4 linked regions of the Caenorhabditis elegans genome follow. The protein of the gene in region 1 interacts with the protein of each later gene in a pairwise test. Each region holds a gene or a part of one and is shown in the gene's direction. Other genes may lie near its edges. The genes, in order: sma-9, egl-43, aptf-2 and gla-3.

Region 1 (4,690 bases):
AGGATCTTTCGGAATTGTCAAGGCTCAAGCATCTCTTCTGAGCCAATGAGTGTTTTTTCTCTTTATCACAAATGTCTTTTACTTTTTACACGCTTTTTACAAGATTTGAATGATTTGTTTCCGAAGAGATAGAGAAAATAAAGATATTAATCATGAAAACTTGTTAATAGAGTACCGTAATTGGTGAGGTTTAGCTTATTTGAGTGCAGAAAAATTTAAATCTTGAAGTTTTCTTGGCGAAAAATTAAAAAAAAAACAGCAGAACTGTGAAATAAATATTTGCAGCTACCAGATACATCTATTTTAGTCATTTGAATTATTGAGAAAAACAGACTACATAAATGAACTACAGTATACAACTTGAATTAAAAAAGGAGTTTTTGACTGAAAAATAACCATTTTCTAGCTTTAATAGACATAGTTTTTGGCTTTGATTTTTTGTTAACGAAAGCAACTAGAAAACATTCAAATTTCAAATGTATTTAGTCATTTTCTGCATATCAAAACTATTTTTTTAAACCTGATGCTCCAAGTGTTTAGTTAAATTTATATGTAATAAATAATTTTGTTTTCCATTAATATCAGTTTTGATAAAACTAAAGTAATACAGTAGTTATCCACCACAATTTGGTGCCCTGATTGTCCTCTTAATATTTTAATTGTACGAAATTTTGCCATCAACCAACCACACTCACTTTTTTTGGTAACTTTTCTTCCCATTTCTCTACTTCTCTTGCATTTTGTTATTTCACAATAGTCCACTCTATCTTCTTTTTCCAATGTCCCTCTCAAATCATTCGCGCCCTGTTTAGCACCCATAGAGTCATTGATCACTTGGCCAACAGCCGGTCTCCCGGTAATGATAACGGGAAAAGTCAATGAACATTGAGTGAGAAAAAGAAAGAAAGAGAGAGAAAAGGACAGAGAGCAGCAAATGTGTATGTCACACACTCTTTTAGTCTCATAGAATACTAATCGATCACAATCACAAGTTACAAAGAAGTGTTGAACATTTTCAAGAGCTGCAAATCTGTGATAAGGTGACGAAGAATTGAGGTGACGTACTCTTTTCCCGTTTTTTTAAATTGTGATAGTGTGAGTGAAAAGATTGCGCGAGTAATGGGTAACCGTTTCGAAGACTGAACTGCATTCATGAGAGCCTCCAATCTGTTGCAGGAGTCAAAGTGAGGCAATTTGCGTCTTGATTTGATATGAATAGAAAAAGAATGAACGACAATATATTGTCTTCTGTTTTGATTAATGATTTATTTCAAGACATTGTATACAGTCTTAAAAACATTTGGCAACGGTTTTAGTAATTGTTATTTTTATTCCCCTTCATTCATTGTAATGAAACATATTAGAGAAATCAGTATGAATCAAATCAGAACGACGTTTGAATTGATAGGAATGAAGAAAAAACGTGACCACTCTTCCCCGAATCATTAAAAGTGAACCTTGTACCCAGTTTGCTGTAGACAAGTAACTTTCATGCTAATTATGGTCTCATGTGAACGTCACATGGTTCCAATCACTTTCTCATTATTTTTTGTAATACGTCTTCATCTCTCATTTTCCCCCTTATCTCACTTTGTTTTACGATGAACTTAACTTACATGAATCAAACTTAAAAAGTGGTTTTAGAATTGGCGAATGAGCCATCAGGCAATTGGAATCTCGAACAACTTTCAGCAGGTACAACGTGAGCAGCTAAATCATCAACGATTATTACAAGCACAGCTCCAGACTAATGGACCTGGAAGTGTTTCTCAGCAGCAGCAGGCTTCGCAGCAACAACAGCAAGTGCAGCACGTCCAGCAGCAACAACAGTCGCAGCAGCAACAGCAACAAGTTGCTTCACAACAAAACCAGCCGCAATTGCAAATGAATGCTCAGATACTGCAAGCTTTGTCAACACCACAAGGACAAAATTTAGTTAACATGCTTTTGATGCAACAGGCACTTAATGCGCAACAGACTGATACTCAGAATCCACAACAAATTATGCAACATCAATTAGCTCAACAGCAGGCACAACAAGCTCAGCAAGCTCAACAAGCGCAACAAGCTCGACAACAGGCAGAACAACAAGCTCAAGCCCAAGCTCGTCATCAAGCTGAGCAGCAGGCTCAGCAACAGGCACAGCAACAGGCGCAGGCACGGCAACAAGAACAACAAGCTCAATTAGCAGCTATTCAACAGCAAGTCACGCCACAGGTTTGTGTTTAGTACAAAATTGATAATTCGAAACTTTGATTTTTATTTTAAGCAATTTGCTCAAATATTGCACATGCAACAGCAGCTTCAACAACAGCAGTTTCAACAACAACAGCTCCAGCAGCAACAACTTCAGCAGCAGCAACTGCAACAGCAACAACTTCAACAACAACAGCTCCAGCAGCAACAGTTACAACAGGTTCTACAGGTGAGTTGACACAGAAATAGCATGTTGATAACTTGAAATTGGCGTTATTTTATTTTTTTTTTCTTCAGATCTCACAAGCCCAACAACAAGCTCAACAAGCTCAGCATGTCCAGTCTAGACAAATGCAGCCGTCCCAACAGAGCCAGGTACAGGCGCAACTCCAGCAGCAACAGCAATTGCAGCAGCAACAAGCTCAGCAGCTTTCACAGCAGCAGGCGCAGCAGCAACAACAATTACAACAGTTACAACTGCAGCAATTTCTTCAACAACAGCAACAGCTTCATCAGCAACGTGCGGCTGCCCAACAAGCTCAGGCTCAGAACAATGCTTCACAACAACGCCCGTCGGTTGCATCGACGCCTGCATTGTCTTCAACTCCACAGTTGAATGATCTTACACAGACAATGCAAGCCCAGCTTCAACAGCAACTGCTTCTCCAACAGCAACAGGCTCAGGCTCAACAAGCTCAACAAGCTCAGCAAGCACAACTAGCTCAACAGGCTCAACAGCAACAGCAAGGGCAGTCTCAAAATAGAACAGTTTCTCAAGCACTGCAATATATTCAGTCTATGCAACTGCAGCAAAGAGCCGATGGAACCCCAAACGGTACGTTTAAATTTTGTATTTTTCTCTGTTTTCATTTTCTCACGTTCACACGCTTCACAACTCTGTGTCTGTTTCCCTTCTCTGTTTTCCCAGTTTCTCCCTTCCCGTTTTCCATCGTTTCCCTTTTTTGCCAGTCCACATACGTTCAACCACACAACCACACCACAACTCTTTGAAAATTATCCGATATACGTATATGACATCAAAAATATCATAGAACATTTTGTTTCCATTTGTTTTTTTTTGAAATATGCATGCAAATAGATAGTGTGTAAACCAACAATAATTAGAAAGTGATAAAGAATGAGATTTTTGTAACCATTACTTCAGCTTTTCTCCTGAATCATCTTCTTCTCTTTTTCTGTGCACCACCTTCTAACCATTGGTTGTTCAAACACGCTTACCCAATATTTTTCCCCTTCAGCAGAGTCACAAGAAGAGAGGTTGGCTCAAATGCTGAACGAACAACAGCAGCGGATGCTGCAAAATCAGGCGCGCGAGGCACAACATCGTCAGTTGCTCATTTCTTCGACGCCTGCTCCTCGAGGTGGTATCACCATGGGAACTCCAATTGGTATTGCAAGGAGAGAAGAGCAGCCGGTACCGTCTACGGTGGCGGTAACGACGGCACCGGCTGCAGTCCGCACGCCTGTTGCTGTGCCACCTATGAAACAAAATTCTAACCCTTCCATGAATCCATCATCCACATCTACGTCTGCATCTGCCACAAGCAGTCATCAGATTTTAGCCCCCTCGCTCTCCAAACCACTTGAGCAGCCTTCCTCGTCGAAGGCCGCATCGTCTGGCAACGAGTCGATGTCGGACCACATCAGCCGAATCATCTCTGAGAACGAAGTCATTCTTCAAGGAGACCCGGTGAGTGCCGAATTCTTCTAGCGTGATGGGTTTTCTTTTTTTGAATAATTCGCCCCCTGGAGTTTGATGAAATGATACGGAAACAATACCAGACCAAAATAAAACAAAACCTTTCATGTTTTTATTCATAATTTCAAATCTCATTTGTCCTTCTGTTTGACGTCTTCGAATCTGTCCATTTACAGGTGATTCGCAAAAAGCGGCCATACCATCGGCAAATAGGTGCGCAATCCTCGGTCGATCACGACAGTAATAGTGGTGGTGAGTTGTGGTGTGGTTGAGTTTCTTGAAAGCATCGCTCCATTACCCTTGTCCTTCTATCCCAAGACAAGATATTGTCTCCTTCTATTACTCGCCCCAACGTTTCCGCTATACCGTCTCGATTTGCATGCCAGTGCGTGTCTGCACGTGTCCATATCTGCATATTATATATTGATGAATATTGTGATTGTCCCGTTTGTCCCTTAATGTTTTATATTTTTCAGGATCAACAAGAACTTCGCCTGGGCCAAAAGACAGTCGTATGTTGCAAGCTGCTAGTCGGAGCCAGAGTTTATTCGAGCTTAGTGGATCAAAACATTTCATGGGCAGCTTGACTAGTGGTCAGCCATTGCTTCGTCCGATTCAGGCACATAATGATCCTAACTACACACCGGAGTGTATATACTGCAAACTCACGTTTCCCAATGAAGCTGGTCTCCAAGCTCACGAAGTTGTTTGCGGAAAGAAAAAAGAGCTAGAAAAAGCACAAATAGCACAAGAAGGAAACCCGCATAGTGCTCT
Region 2 (4,931 bases), on another chromosome or scaffold:
AAAATTCAAAAGAATAGACAGTAGGCAGCCTACCTTTTGGAAAATTCTCTGGAAAAATCGTCTTCACAAAATTTCCAAACTATCTGATAACACTCATTCGATGGGAAATTGTCACTTACGCGAGGTTTTTTTTGCCTCCGATTCAGAAAAAAAGTTCCATTTTTTGTTATCATATCATTATTATCAGTTCTAATGGCACATCATGTGTCAAGTGATGAGCACCATAACTTTAAATTTTCAAGGTTTTCGAAATATTTTACTCTTGTTCAACAATTCTTCATTTCAAAATGTGACCGTTTTCTTTCTACACTTATGACACTTTTAATACTGTATCACTTGAATGTCTCTAACTTTTTTTCCATTTTCCTCACAACTTTTCCATTCTTCTATTTTTCTGTAGAATGGACGAGCCCACCTTTTATTACTCCTATATAAAAGCTCTTCTCGGTGCGCTCACCTGGAGCTATGAGGAGAAGAAAAACGGAAAGAATAGAAGAAAAGAAGCGGCAATTTTGTCCCGTCCCTTCTTCCAAAAAGATGAGGACCATGAAGAAGAAAAGCGCAGCACATCCGTCAGAAGAAGACCACAATTGGTGGAGGGGCACACCTCTACTTTAAAATAGCTCCCATTTGCTCGCTTTTACTGGAAACTCTGGGGTCACTGATTTTTTGGATGGTTCTAGACTGTCCTCAAATGTATAATTTCAAAGCTGCGGCAAACTGCTACACCCTGTTGTATTTTCCGTCCAGCAATTTACTTCCAAAAATTCAAACTAAGTCAATAGTTGTTATAGTTTTTAAGTTGGTCTTTGATTATTGAGCAGTTCGGTAAACTCGCAGCCGACCTCGATGGAGTCTCGCGATAGCCTACTCCTGGAAAAAACGTTTGTCTTCTGCTTTCACCTCATGATATCAGGAAACTTATTACAGACATTCAGCCGACAAATAAACGGCTTGGCTTCTACTAGAAATGCTCAATAGATTCTAATTTAGTAGGTGTAGATATTTTCACTTTTGTTTATTTTTCTAAGTATCGAAGTACATATGTTAGAAAGTAAATAAAAATTGCTATTCTACTTTAAGAATTTTCTATATTAAAATAGTCTTTAGTAACGTGGGGTTTTCGAAACTTGCAACTTTTCAAGTGAAGATGCTCCTCACCTGAAGCATCCTGTCACTCTACCGATTGGCTGATGGGCGTGTCGTCTTCCATCTCTTCCACCCGCCCACTTTTTGAGACAGGAGAGGCTCTCGCTCCTCTCGCATCCACAAATGGAAGGCGCCTCTTTCCATCTTCCTTTCTTTTTTTTCTGGTTAGTTGAAGTATCCTTAAAGTATCTTGACGTTTTTACTATATATGACTTCTGGAGAGACATTCGAGTTTTTGGATCAAATATAGAATGTCAAATTTTGAAGAGCAATCTTCTCATATGTCAATTTTTCAATAAAATTGTATCCTACATTGTGGTGGTGTAGAACCCTCAAAAAATAATCTCTAAATTAAGAATTTCTTGATTTTAAAACTGACTAGCAAATTTGTCATGAAAAATCTCAAACGAATTTCCTACAGTTCATCTACCAAATGAATTGGGCTTGTAAACTTTTTCACCATCTACTAAAAAATTCAATAAAATAATAATCTCTTCCCAAACTACACCTCCCTCCAATATCTCTCAGCTTACTCCTAACTCCTATCCCAAATTCGTACATCTACCGTACCATTCCTCCTCCCTGTTCGTTCTCAATGACAAAGCCAGCCTTGAACAGCCATATCCAACTTTTTCGTTGCATTGTTCTCGTTCACAAGATGTATTACTCATCTTTCGCCCCAAAACTGTTCTTGTAATTTGTACAGTTCTTGTTTCTTCCCACGTACAGTTTCCTAAGTTTTCAGGATGAGCATCGACACAGACTTCCTCACGAGTGTTGAGGTAAAGGAGGATGAGCTACATGGAAATGTGCTCATTGCAGTAACTCAAATTGCACTCGGAAGGACCATCGGTGTGATTGATAAGGTGAGCTTTTGGTGTACAATTTTTACGCCGTAGACATTGTCTTAGAGGTGTCCGCTAGAAAAAGAAGTATAAGCTTATTCCCGGGCGTCTAAAAAACTCCACCGGAAAAAATACAGGTCGCTTGAACTGAAATATCTTATAGCTTGAGTAACCTATGAAATAAGCTTTCAGATGTTACACTCATATTTTGTTAGTTAGTAGTTATATGATAACAGTAATTTTAGGTTGTAATTGATAAAATAATGACTTTTTTAAATTAACAAAACTTTTTTTAAAATATTTTTACAAGCATTTTAAATTGATACCTTGGTGCCTAATCTACCTAATCTACAGTACCTTCGCCAACATTTTCAAATCCTTTCCTAATGATTCAACGTTCGAATTACAAATTCTTCCCAGAACCCAAAACCGCAATTATCGGGACCCTGAAATGTTTGGCGCCATGTGTTCCTCCCTGCTTCTTCTCCTCAAAAATTCCTTACACCTGTCTTTCCACCTTTCCCGCTCCCCCCGTCCATTACCACTTTGTTAACCTTGGGGGCACACTAGTAACCATTACATTAGGATTTACAAATCGGAACACCTGGTGCCTTGGTGGATGGGGGATCCGAGATGGGAAAAGAGACTCGATGATCGACTGTAATTGATGAATACAGTCGCTGATGGGAAAATGGATAATTGCTAGGTTTCCATAGGAAGAAGAATTTGAGGAGCTCTATCAATAAAGGAGAGGGATTGAATCCGTTGATCAAGCCGTCAATTTCCTACTGTAGCTGTCGTCGTTATCCAACTTCGTCACAATTCCATCATTGAATTAGTGTATTTCCCCCAGTTGTTTATCATCTAGAGCCGGCGACGGGTCTCTCACACTGATTGGCTTATCACGCACGCACACCACATCAAGCGGCAGTCACTCAGAATCAGAAGCCACTGAAGAAAAAGTTCATCATCTTTTGCGAGAGAGCCACTGATTGCTTATGGTTGCTTGGTGAAGGCAAACCACCTGCTCTCACAGTGGGAAAATTAGATTCCAGAAGCGATAGAGAGAGCGACAGCTCCTGCTTCTTCTTATTAGATATTGATGGGTTTTTGGGCTGAAGCTCACGGAGCACAGAGAGTGGTGAGTTGGCCGAAATGAAATAAGATTTTTTCGAGAATGAGTTTAGAATGTGTGCGATTTGTGAAATAATTGAGGGAGGAAACCCAGTACGCCCAACAAAACCCTTGTTGAGGTACTAAACTGTTTCTGCGAAGATCTGTGGGAAAATATACAGAGATTGCAGGAAAAATAATGCAGTCTTGTAACTGGTGTCACACGGTGTGACGCGCGTGACGTCATCTTTTTCCAGTCCGCAATATATCAAATGAAGTGAAAACTTAAAATTTGGATATGCAGTTTTGAAGAACGCATCGCCAAATACAGGGATTCTTGAAACTTTAATTTTTTATAACTATTCGTGTCCATTTTTTGTAAAATTAAGTCCGAAGAGACATCACCGTTGTCTTACAAGCGGTCATAGAGAAACCTACCCAGCGTGCCAATCGTTTCTTTAATCCATGTTATCACGAGGCCGTCGAAGGTCACCTTTCAGGCAGGCATACATTTTTTTACTACGATTTATGTAGATCCTAGATTCTACACTCATCATTTAGAAAAAGTACTAAAAACAATCACTTACATTAATTTTATAAATATTATTATTTTAGGCTACACCGAATGATTCGAATGCTCTTCTCATCTTGAACCTGATTAAGGAAGCTGATGACGGAGAAGATGCCAATATTTGTATGAGGCAGGAGGATAGAAAGGTGATTATTAGATAAATTTAATGAGGAAGTTATCTAACTATAAGAAAAATTTCAGACTTTTCTACAAACCAGTAAGATTATCAATATTGGAGAGCGTCTTCTTCTACAAAGACTGTCCGAAGAGGAGTGTGATGAGGAGGATCAGGATGATCTTGAGAATTTAATTTTGTTAAAAGATGAAGATCGGTGAGTATGACCCTTGAAAGAAACAAGAAAAAGAGCATGCTAAAAAGGTATGATTTTTCTCACCTTTGAAATTGGAACGATAACTGAACAAGTTGCAAAAACTGTAATTTTCCGGAATTTTTTCTATGATTTGAAGTTCTGTGTTGCTATACATAGAAGGATGTTTGAATTACACATAAAACAATTTCTAAAAAGCAGATTGAGTATACCTTTAATTTTTGAGTTGTTGAGATCAGCGTTAAAAAATTTCAAACCGGTTTTGTCGGTCTTACACAGGCGAATATTCGAAAATAAATCTCGATTTCTAACGGAAAAGTAACGGAAGAAAGATGTGAATCTTCATGAAAATCTTCTGTCATTTTCTTCTCATCGTCCTACTTTCTAACTCCCGTCGTTTTCTCGATAGTTTTCACTGGCGCGGTGAAAGTAACGGATTTCCGATAAGAGCACATCCTTCAGCATCTCCAAGTGAAGCCCGCCCGCTTTTTTTGTGTCCCGTTCATTTACATATAGATTCTACCGCTTCTGGATGACAAATTCGTGTCGGTTTCCGGAGGAGCCCTTTTTTGGGTATTTGAGCCCCTCAAAGGAAATCGTTGATTTATTTTGAGGGGTGTGCATCGGGGGAAGGAAGCGGATCTAGATTTTGCATCTTTTTTGAGAATCAATCGTTTTTTTTGCGGAAAATATAAATTTTTATCTTTTTTTCCGAAATCTTTATATCGCTAACTTAATTTGTGTTATTACCATCTTTTCTATGTTTCTTAAATTTTTAGACGATGATTCCTTGGTATCCCAAAAGTTTAGGTTTCAATTTTTACGTTAGACCTTGAACTTGCCCGATTAGATTTGAAAAGTTTGGGTTAATTTTAATATTTAATAGATTTTTCTAAATCGTTATTCGTATCAAACTATCTAGAC
Region 3 (4,831 bases), on another chromosome or scaffold:
AACTCCGATGGACTTTGGTTATAACTTGAATATCTCTTGCAACCTTCAACATCTCTCAACTCAATTCCGGGCATGTAAGGTGCTGAAATTATGGATATTTGAACACTTTGCTATTTATATTCCCCAGACGTGAAATTTTGTGATTTCTCTGTCTAGGTCTCGACGCGACAATTGTTTTGTTAAATGCGAAAATGTGTGCGCCTTTAAAAGTGGTGTAGTCGAATTTTTGTTATTGCTTTATTAGACTCAAAACTATCTGAAAACACCGAATTTCATAATGAAACTTTTTGAAAACTTCTCAAAAAATAGTTATGACAGCTCAAAAAATGACCTAAAATTTGTTAAAATTTGAAATTTGACCGACTTGTAAAGCGGCTGGAAACAATTTTTTTGAAATCACCGTCAAATTTTGAGTATACATGTCAATTAACTTGCGTTTTCGACTACTACTTTACAATTAGGTATTTTAAAGTCGATGGACGGCGAGATTTGGTTTAAAAAAATTGTTAAAAATCTCGTCGTCCATAGACTTTAAAATACTTAAATCAAGTTGAAAACGCAAGATAATTAACTGGTATACCTACAATTAGACGGTGATTTCAAAAAAGTTCGTTTCCAGCCGCTTTACAAGTCGGTCAAATTTCAAATTTTAACTTATTTTAGGCCATTTTTTAAGCTGTCATAACTTTTTTTAGAAGTTTTATTAAGAAATTCGGTGTTTTCAGACAATTTTGAGTCTAATAAAGCAATAACAAAAATTCGACTACACCACCTTTAAAGGAAAACTATAAAAAAATTCGATGAAAAATCCGCAGATTCGAATGTTTGAAATAACTATTCTTTAAAGTGCTTTAAGAATTAAAGGCGCACACCGTTTCGCATATAACAAAAATTTGTCGTTTCGAGACCCTATTTTTGGAGCAAAAACCGCGAAATTTCAATGATTTGTTATAAAAAAGTCCGAACCAATCGTCTCCCAAGTGTTATCCGTATCTAAAATCGCACATATTTGCTGGAGAACTTCTCGTTTCATGAATGGAATCATTACAACTTCTGATACTCCAAGAGAATCATCCATTGTCTCTGAAAAATTCCAGATTATTTTTAAAAATATGTATTTAAACAATTTTAACAAGTTTAATTTTAAAAGAGTAGCTAATCAAAAATTATTTTGCTTTATTAAACTAAAAATGGTCCCAAAATATCGAATTTCATAACAAGACTGTTCAAAAATGCTTTTAAAAGGTTTATTTCCGCTAAAATCTCCAATTTCACCAACTTTTCCGTTTCACAGCGATCGGAAATTGATTTTTATCTGACTATTGCCCTATTTTGCTCATTTTCCTATTTATCTTCTGTTTTTTTGTTGATTTAATAGTTTGGATTTAAAAATTAAAATTTTAGATGATAAATTAACGAAACAACGCAAGAAAACCAATAAAAATATTCAAAATAGAAGAAAAATCAAATAAAAATCAATTTCTAACCGTTGTGTAACGAAAAATTGGGAAAATTCTATTTTTTCTTCGAAATTAATTTTTTTCTCGTTATAAAATTCGGGGTATTCGGGCCTTTTTGAGTATAATAAAGCAATAAAACTCCTCCTTTGATTGGTTTTTTGAAAAAATGTATAGAATGTTTTGAATGTGTTTTTATTATATTTTTAAAAATAAAAATATTTTAAATTAAAATTAAAATTTAATATTTAATTAAACTTATAAAACGAACAATTCTGAAATTCCAATAAATCCAAAAGCGGAGGAAAGCGGAGTGTCGTCACTTCCTCTCGTCGTCTCATCCCTCTCCCTCTCTCTACATTTTCTCTCTCTTCCATTCCATTACTTGGCACATTCTTCTGGAGATGTCACCTAGAAAACAGATGTTTTTGCAACACTGGAAGAGTAGATCAATAATAAAAGAATGGATATACAGGTGAGCGCGCACAGATTTGATCTCCACACCATAAACGATTTACAACCAATGAGGTCAAATATTGTAGAAGGCATTCGATCTACCTTATTAATGTCATTTCTTTCTTCCCTTTTTTTCAGCTTTTTTTTTGCTTTTTTTCCATAATTTGGAGGTCTGGCAATAACAATTTTACTTTCAAGCTGGAGTACCGAAATCTGAGACTTTGTTTTTTACACCCAAAATAGCCCAAAAATACCGAATTGGTAATGGGACGTTTTGAAAATTTCTCAAAAAAAAGTTATGGCAGTTGAAGGTTCTGGAAAAATGGCACATTTTCAGCTAAAATCAAAATTTTGGTCAACTTCTCGGTGTCACAGCGTCTGGAACATCATTTTTATGTAATTATCACTATTTAAAGACTATTGCGGTCTTCTATTAAGCGTTTATTCGTTGATTTAAACATATTTTCGGTAAGTGGGACACAAATAAAAGTTACATTTTTGTGCCCCACTGACAATAAATGTACTTAAATCAACGAATAAACGCCTAATAAAAAACAAAAATATTCTTTAAAAAGTGATAATTGAATCAAAATTAAGTTCCAGACGCTGCGACACCGAGAATTAGACAAAAATGTTGATTTTAGCTGAAAATTAGCCTTCTTTCCAGAACTTTGAGCCACCATAACTTTTTTTTTTGAGAAATTTCCAAAACGTCTCATTACACAATTCGGTAGTTTTGAGTCATTTTGGGTCTAAAAAAGCAAGGGTTCAGATTTCGGTACCCCATCTTTAAAATATTCAAATGGATCCAAATGCTGAAATCCCACAAAATTAAGTTTTAGAAATACAGTTAATTTCTGACGAATTTTTCAACTTTCTGCCGAAATTGATAAAAAAAACCAAAGTGCGGCACAGAAAAATGGGCGTGGTTAAGTGGCTAAAGTGCGGAAATTCAAATTATTCAAAAAAGGATATTATGAAGAAGCGAAAATTCGTCACAATCAACTTTTTTGTTAAACTCTGTAAATTTATATTGTCTGCTTTTGAATCCATTCGCGTATTTTAATTTATTCATTTATTACTTTTTCAGATGTTCACCACGCTCAACTCTACTGTTCCAACGGAACCCGTGGTGGGACCTGTGGAACCTACAGTACCTACAGTACCCGCCACAAAAGAGACTGGCCCTTCAAGCTCTGCAGAGTGCTCTACCCAACCCGCCGTTGCCGAGCAAGAAGACAACTCCCTTTTGGCACAACTTTTAAAAGGAAAAATCACGTCTGATGATGCAAAGTTGCAACCACCACGTGGACCTTTCGAATACGCACCGATGCTCTCCGAGGAGGCACAATTTGCGATTAAGCTGGCGGGTCTTCTCAACCCGAATCCGGTCACTGAACAGGACCCGAGCACTTTCAAGCCGCCTCCGAAAATGAGCAATAATGTTCGAAAAAACATTAATTTGACTCCGGTTATTGAGAATGCAGTTCCGAGTGGATTTGAACTGGAAAGTCCGAAAGATCAGGCATTTGATGTGGTTCATGGAAGACTATCTATGGGACAGAATCAGACATGTTATTTTGTACGTTTACGGTAGAAGTTCAATATTAAAATTTAAATAATCTTCCAGGTCACAGTCGAGGAAATGAGACGAAGATTGCAAAGTCCGGAGAAGCTCAATAGTTCGAGTATCGCATGCAATCTTAAAAGGCCAAAACTGAAGAATGGAGGTGAACTGATGCGCGCTCAACTGAGAGATCATGGAATCAAGGTTCAACTGAATGCGAAACAGAAGGCTTTTCCCAACAAAGTGATCGCTTTGGTCGAAGCGGAAGCTGTTCATTTGGGACTTGATCTTGGAACAGCTGTACGAGATGATTATCCAGTTCAAGATATAATTCAAGAAGTTGCTCATGAAGCATTGGCTGACGAGGATGCAGATCTGGATGCGTTGATGAATGATAAGGATTTCACGTAAGTTGACTATATTCCAATTTCTCAATTCTGACGCCAAATTCCAAATATTTCAGAGAATGTATGTCAGCACTTGAATCAGTTTTCACATCAGTCGTCCCTCCGATCACTGGAATCGAGCCAAAACCGTCGAACAACATGCGACTGAACAATGGAATGGAGACCTTTTCATCAGCTTCACATGGACTTGGAATCGTGTCTCAACGGGTTTGGCTCCCCCAATTGACTGCAATCGGAAATGGAGTCGCATCTGAACTTCGACGCTTGACAGAGACGCCAACTGAATCAAAGCCAGAGGAATTGAAAGCATAAATTCATATTTTCATATTCTGATATTTAAAACAATCTGATTACCAAGGTCTCACTTATTTTCCATGATCTCTATGATGTTTTCACTTAATTTCAATGAAACTTTTTATTTATTTAAATCCTCATACGATGTTCCTTAGTACTAGGAAATGCATCATTAAAAATGATTTTCATATTGCTAGTACGTCTTATAGAGTAGCTTCGAATTCACTTTATACATTTGAATAATATTGAATTTTATAGGTTTTACACATCATTTTGATCATTTTGATGTGTAAAACTTTGAAAAATTCATTATTATTCAAATGTATAAAATGAATTCGAAGCTTCTCTATAAGACGTACTAGCAACATGAAAATAATTTTTAATGATACATATTCCAAAACTGAAAATTAGGAATTTCTTTACCCCCGTTCCTCACGTGAAAACATTTATTGACCCTGTGGCAATGTGCGCTTGCGCGTCTGCGTCTCCAGAAGGCGTAATCTCTCGTGTTCAAACACTTTCTCAACTGACCATTTGTTTGCGTCGTTGCCGACGGCTTAACCATATGTTGCCTTTTCCCCCTTACATTTATACAAGACAGTAATATTAATAAATCGGTTTGATCTACAAAAATGCGGGAATTTTTTGGT
Region 4 (5,054 bases), on another chromosome or scaffold:
CCACACTTTCCAGCCATTGAAGCAATTGTTACAATATGCCCTTTATTCGACTCGAGCATGCCGGGAAGGAAATTTTTGGTAGTCTGGAAAATTTCGGTATTCTCTTTTCAACAAAAGTCATATCTTACAAAGAACAAAGCATTTGTGTTAACTGAAACAGTCTTGACCATCAGCTCATCTGGACATTGCAGCAACTTTTTTCCTTGAAATGTTTTTATGAAAAGATATTATGGGAATACTAATTTCTGAGAATGCGTATTGCGCAACATATCAGACGCGCAAAATATCTCGTAGCGAAAACTACAGTAATTCTTCAAATTACTACTGTAATTTTTGTGTGAAGTAACAATGGGTTCACTGAACCTTTTCGAAAGTCTTATCATTTTATTTATTTTATTGATTTTTGTTTTCTCTCTTTATCTGGCATATTTCGCTTAAAATGAAAAATATGTAATACGCTAAACTTCGTATGTTTCTAAATCTCTACAGTATGCAATTAGCAAGGGATGTGCTTTTTTGCCAGTGGGTCCCGCCGCGCCATTCAAATTCATTTAATTAATACCATGTGTATTGCGACTCTTCATTGTGTCTTCGAGACCCGAAGAACTCGGGGGATGTCCAATTGGGGGGATTACCAACTCGGGGATTGGCCCCGCCCACAGAACCGTGGCTTGCAATACGCCCATTTCTGCAACTGCCGCACGGTTTCGAAACTGTATTTTTCTCAATAGAGCGAGATTTAACAAGAAAAATACAGTTTCAAAACCGTGCGGCAGTTGCAGAAATGGGCGTATTGCAAGCCACGGTTCTGTGGGCGGGGCCAATCCCCGAGTTGGTAATCCCCCCAATTGGACATCCCCCGAGTTCTTCGGGTCTCGTGTCTTCTACAGGAAAAAATTAACTCTATAAGGAACAAAATTATTATTTACTGTGTTTTTGTATTGTACATGAATTTTTCAGAAGTTTGGATGTTTTCAGCCGACTGTACTTACCCGTCACAATTCCAGCGTTGTTCACGAGAATATCTACTTTCCCTACTTCACTTTTAACCAAATCGGCGGTTCTATTGATTTCTTTGTATTCCGATAGGTCCACTGTGTATGCTTTAGCCTGAAAGATATAGAAATGAAACAGTATACAAATCGCAGAGACGCAGAGAAACGCACAACGACACTCCGAAATGACGATCGCGCGTTGTTTAGCGTGTCATTTGAATTTGTACTTTTTCTCATTTGCTTACCTAAATTTATTCAACTTCTCTTTGTTTCCCATTTTTGAGTAAAATATTTTTAAAAAAGCCATTTTCAGATTCTAAATCGTATTTTTCTGTAAATAGATGAGTAGCTCTGCGTCAAAAACTCAGGAAATAAGGTATATTCTTCGTATGAATAACTAATTGCTAAAAACAAAATTTTCAGCGTCGTCATAGATCCCCGTGATGCGCTTACAAACAGCACCAACGGCAATAAACCAAACGGCCCAAAACCGAAAGTAAGATCAGAAAAGCGGTAGTTCGTGAGAAACTAGAGCAGAAGGGGGTAGAGGAAAAAACTAAAGCTAAAAAAATAACTAGAAATTAGTGTTTAATAAAACATTTTATTTTCTCCATCCTACTCACCCAACCATGCTTTATCAACCATCTTTGTTAAAAAGTCGACTTACTCCTGCTCCGCCGGTAATTTTCGGAAAAAGTGTATTTTTGGTTTATAATAAAATTCAGGGGTTTTCTTTTCAACCTCAGCCTCTATTGAACTCAGATATGGATCCAGTCAGAAATTTAGAAAGTCTAGGGAACTACACGGTGTATCAAGATTCTTCTCAATGTTTTTGGCAACATCAAAATTTTACCTCCAATCGAGAGCATAACCCCGCATTAAGGAAGGTTCTATTTTTGGAAAAACGTTTTAATTTCTTAACACTTCAATATTTTAATTAAGATCTACTCATTCCTTGTAGTTTCAGACAAAGATTTGCGATCACTGGCGACGCTCGGGCAGCTGTTCGTATGGCGACGCGTGCTGGTATGCTCACGGTGAAGACGATCTTCGTAAAGTGGTCAGTTAAGCAGCGTAGGAAACATCAAAGAAATCTGGTTTTTCAGGTCCGGATTGATCGTTCGAACGAAGAAGAGAATGAGCGACCGGCTACTGCTGAAATTCAAAAGTCGCCGACAAAGCGTGCATCAACCAACGTCAAAGGATTAACAGTGAATATTCCATCGAATACTGCCTTCAAAGAACAAAACTCTTCGATGCCGTTATCTCCAGCTCAGGAAAGATGGATTTCCATGTCAATTGGAGCTGTACCACCACCAACCAGCTCAGCTGCAGAGAAGGATGCGATTTCATCATTATCTAAAAACGGTGTCGAGCAAGAACAGGAAAAGAAGCATGAAATATGTTCTCGTGACGATGATATTGACGATTACGGATTTTTGGTTAGTTTTGTAACTTCAAGAATAACTTTCGGTTGAAACTGAACAACTTGTTTTCAGTCTCCGAATCCGTTCCCATACCCGCAACAGTCAATGTTCTCAGCTGGATTTCCATCTCATGGACACCATCAACGTTCCTCGAATCGTGCTACGCAAGGGGTTCCTTCTCAACAATTTGGAGGTATAGAGATTTCACGAGGTTTTCTCGAATTTAATGAAATGAGTCTCAGCCCGCTGAAATTTTTATGGTAGTCTTTTTGAATTGTTGCGGCTGATTTCTCGTTTTCTTGAATTTTTCAAAACAATGACTTAGTTTTTATCAATCTTTATCGTTTTCTATTCATTTTTTTTGCTAAAATTAGTTTAAATCAGTTTTTGGAGTATAAATTAAAAAAGACTATCATAAACTTTTTATACGTCGAGACCCTGAATGAATCCGTGCGCCTTCAAGAAAACATGTCAAATTCTAGTGAAATTACGACAAGTTTTTCTTCAGAGATTTTTTAAATCAAAATTCATTGTTACAGGGCCAGTCAACATCCCTGGTCAAGATCCGAATCGTTTGGGATCTGGAGCATACCATATCCCACCACAGCACCAAAGATCAAGATCCAATGTTCGTACTTCACGAGAGGTCGGCGGTCCCCCTCCGCAATTTCAACAAGCGATTTGGAATGTTGCTGGTGAAATCTATCAACGTCAGAAGGACATAGAGATAGGCGGACAGAGAGTTGGACCCAATGATCGTCAACCGACTCAACAGAAAAATTCGGAAATGGATCGACTTTTGTCTAAACTGAAAATGAAAGATTTGAACTACCTTCGTTTTATGATAGAGCGAGGATATATCAACGAGCGTGACGTGTCTAGGCAAACTTCGGTGAGTGGTGTCTCAGGTTTTTCTTTTTTCACAATTTCTTTTAGATTTAAAAAAATTCAAACAATTTTTGTTCAGAGTGATCAAATGAGTAATGGTCATCACTTCAATGCTCCTATGACCCCACCATACCATCCACGACTTGCAGGAAACGGTAAGATTGAAATCAACCAAATAAATAGGAAAATTGATCGAACTATTGCATACATTTTAGAACCAAATACTTCGGACTGTCATTACCATGGAACTGGAAATCGTTTATCAAATTTCATGCCAGGACGTCATCGTCCCCCACATCAACATCCAATCCATCATCATCATCAGTCACAACATCAGCTACACCAGCATCAGCAATATCTGCATCATGCTGCTCAGCAATACCGTTATTCGCATCAACAGGGACCTCAACATCCGTTTGCGGCTCTTCTCTCACCACCGGAGATCTCGGAGTCCTTGCTCCCACCTGATGACTCGTTTTCGATTTGGCTCGAGCCGAAGCCGAAAAAACAGTCCGGAGCCATGACACGAACTCGCGGAGCTGCGACGATCAACGAATCGAGTTCTGCGGCAAGTCTGCTCACAAAAATGGATGCTCTTCGATCAGACAAGTATCCAATTACAGACGAGGAAATGATGATGGCTAATGATTTTGTGAGACAAGGCGATCGAGATGGTATGTTTATTGGTTAATTTACTCGAAAAATTTCTATAAAAATTTATAGTTCTGAATATCCATCAATTTCAGATAAACTAAGCTCCAGCGAAAGCTCAAGTCCTGTCGTGATGTCTTTGATGGAACTATTGAGCAACGAGAATCTGCTCGATCAAGTAGCAACCGAAAAACCAAAGTGTTCTATGTTCGATTTTGATACTCTAAAAATCGCCGAAACTCTCAAGGAGCCACTGCAATCTTCCGAATGTTCAACTACAACATCAAGCAAGATGACCTGCTCTCCAATGTTCTTTTTCGTAGATGAAAAGACACCAAACTACGGTAAAATTTTTTTTAGTATTTGAGTAGAACCTCCAATATATCGGCTATTTTTTAGACGGCTCAGGATCGAAAAGCCTTTTCACTCCGTCATCATCGGCCGGCCAGACGCCTTCATTCCTGGAACCTTGCGATTTTTTTGCAGCCACCGGATCGTGCCCCTTCGGTGACGCCTGTCATCAGAGTCACTCGATTTAGGAGGACCAGCGATGATTTTAAAGCCCATTATTGTAATCATTTTCTCATTTCTCACCCAATTCAGTTTCTAAATTTTATACTTTATCATTTTGTCCTTTTTCATCGTAATTTTTGTTCTACTCGCAGCTCTTCTTTAGTTTTTTGTATGTATTTAGGGTTTCTTGTAGAGGATATGGATACTTCCAGCTTTTTCCCACCCACATAATCTTGTTTTCCTCAAGTGATACGGATACCATCCACAAAAGTACGATATTCATAATTTAAATTTTGTATTTTTCTTCACTTTTTGTTCCATTTACACTTGTTTTCATTATTTCTAACGAGCCCGCGCCGCTCTTGACACTAGCTTTGTAATAGTAATAGTTAGCTGTAGTTGTAGTAAGTTTTAGCGAACATTCATCTAATAAATCTATAAATGTGAAAAATGTTGCAAGTCCAAACCTCAACTCCCATCGCTTCCAATTCTTTGAGTGTTTCTTTGTTTCCTTGCTCGTTTATATCCCATAACACTAATCTTGCACCGAGTTTTCCGAACTCGAAGGCCATCAATCGGC

Evidence for each region.
Region 2: the proteins of sma-9 (region 1) and egl-43 interact in a two-hybrid assay, tested with the Caenorhabditis elegans proteins (one large-scale study listed by BioGRID).
Region 3: the proteins of sma-9 (region 1) and aptf-2 interact in a two-hybrid assay, tested with the Caenorhabditis elegans proteins (one large-scale study listed by BioGRID).
Region 4: the proteins of sma-9 (region 1) and gla-3 interact in a two-hybrid assay, tested with the Caenorhabditis elegans proteins (one large-scale study listed by BioGRID).

What each region holds. Positions count from the first base shown.
Region 1 is NC_003284.9:10,771,438-10,776,127, forward strand, and holds the start of sma-9 (Transcription factor sma-9), read left to right. Parts: upstream 1-1,653; coding exon 1,654-2,217; intron 2,218-2,269; coding exon 2,270-2,425; intron 2,426-2,493; coding exon 2,494-3,031; intron 3,032-3,455; coding exon 3,456-3,907; intron 3,908-4,092; coding exon 4,093-4,168; intron 4,169-4,392; coding exon 4,393-4,690. UniProt on the Caenorhabditis elegans protein: Transcription factor, probably acting as a transcriptional activator and repressor, involved in the TGF-beta-like dbl-1 signaling pathway.
Region 2 is NC_003280.10:9,953,291-9,958,221, forward strand, and holds the start of egl-43 (Zinc finger protein egl-43), read left to right. Parts: upstream 1-1,894; 5' UTR 1,895-1,895; coding exon 1,896-2,015; intron 2,016-3,720; exon of another isoform or gene 3,721-3,722; coding exon 3,723-3,824; intron 3,825-3,879; coding exon 3,880-4,010; exon of another isoform or gene 4,011-4,057; intron 4,058-4,931. UniProt on the Caenorhabditis elegans protein: Probable transcription factor, required for migration of the hermaphrodite-specific motor neurons (HSNs) from the tail to the gonad primordium during HSN cell differentiation. Required for phasmid neuron development.
Region 3 is NC_003282.8:13,413,044-13,417,874, reverse strand, and holds aptf-2 (Transcription factor aptf-2), read left to right. Parts: upstream 1-1,823; 5' UTR 1,824-1,920; coding exon 1,921-1,932; intron 1,933-3,003; coding exon 3,004-3,495; intron 3,496-3,543; coding exon 3,544-3,887; intron 3,888-3,943; coding exon 3,944-4,199; 3' UTR 4,200-4,315; downstream 4,316-4,831. Other genes in the region: Pelle-like serine/threonine-protein kinase pik-1, read right to left, coding at 1-82, 967-1,078. UniProt on the Caenorhabditis elegans protein: Sequence-specific DNA-binding protein that interacts with enhancer elements to regulate transcription of selected genes. Required for neuroblast and epidermal morphogenesis, perhaps acting in cooperation with transcription factor aptf-4.
Region 4 is NC_003279.8:8,213,074-8,218,127, forward strand, and holds gla-3 (C3H1-type domain-containing protein), read left to right. Parts: upstream 1-1,624; coding exon 1,625-1,675; intron 1,676-1,720; coding exon 1,721-1,882; intron 1,883-1,956; coding exon of another isoform or gene 1,957-1,962; coding exon 1,963-2,055; intron 2,056-2,101; coding exon 2,102-2,437; intron 2,438-2,494; coding exon 2,495-2,615; intron 2,616-2,961; coding exon 2,962-3,314; intron 3,315-3,389; coding exon 3,390-3,465; intron 3,466-3,525; coding exon 3,526-3,984; intron 3,985-4,056; coding exon 4,057-4,305; intron 4,306-4,360; coding exon 4,361-4,500; downstream 4,501-5,054. Other genes in the region: Protein dhs-3, read right to left, coding at 1-83, 129-202, 993-1,110, 4,942-5,054.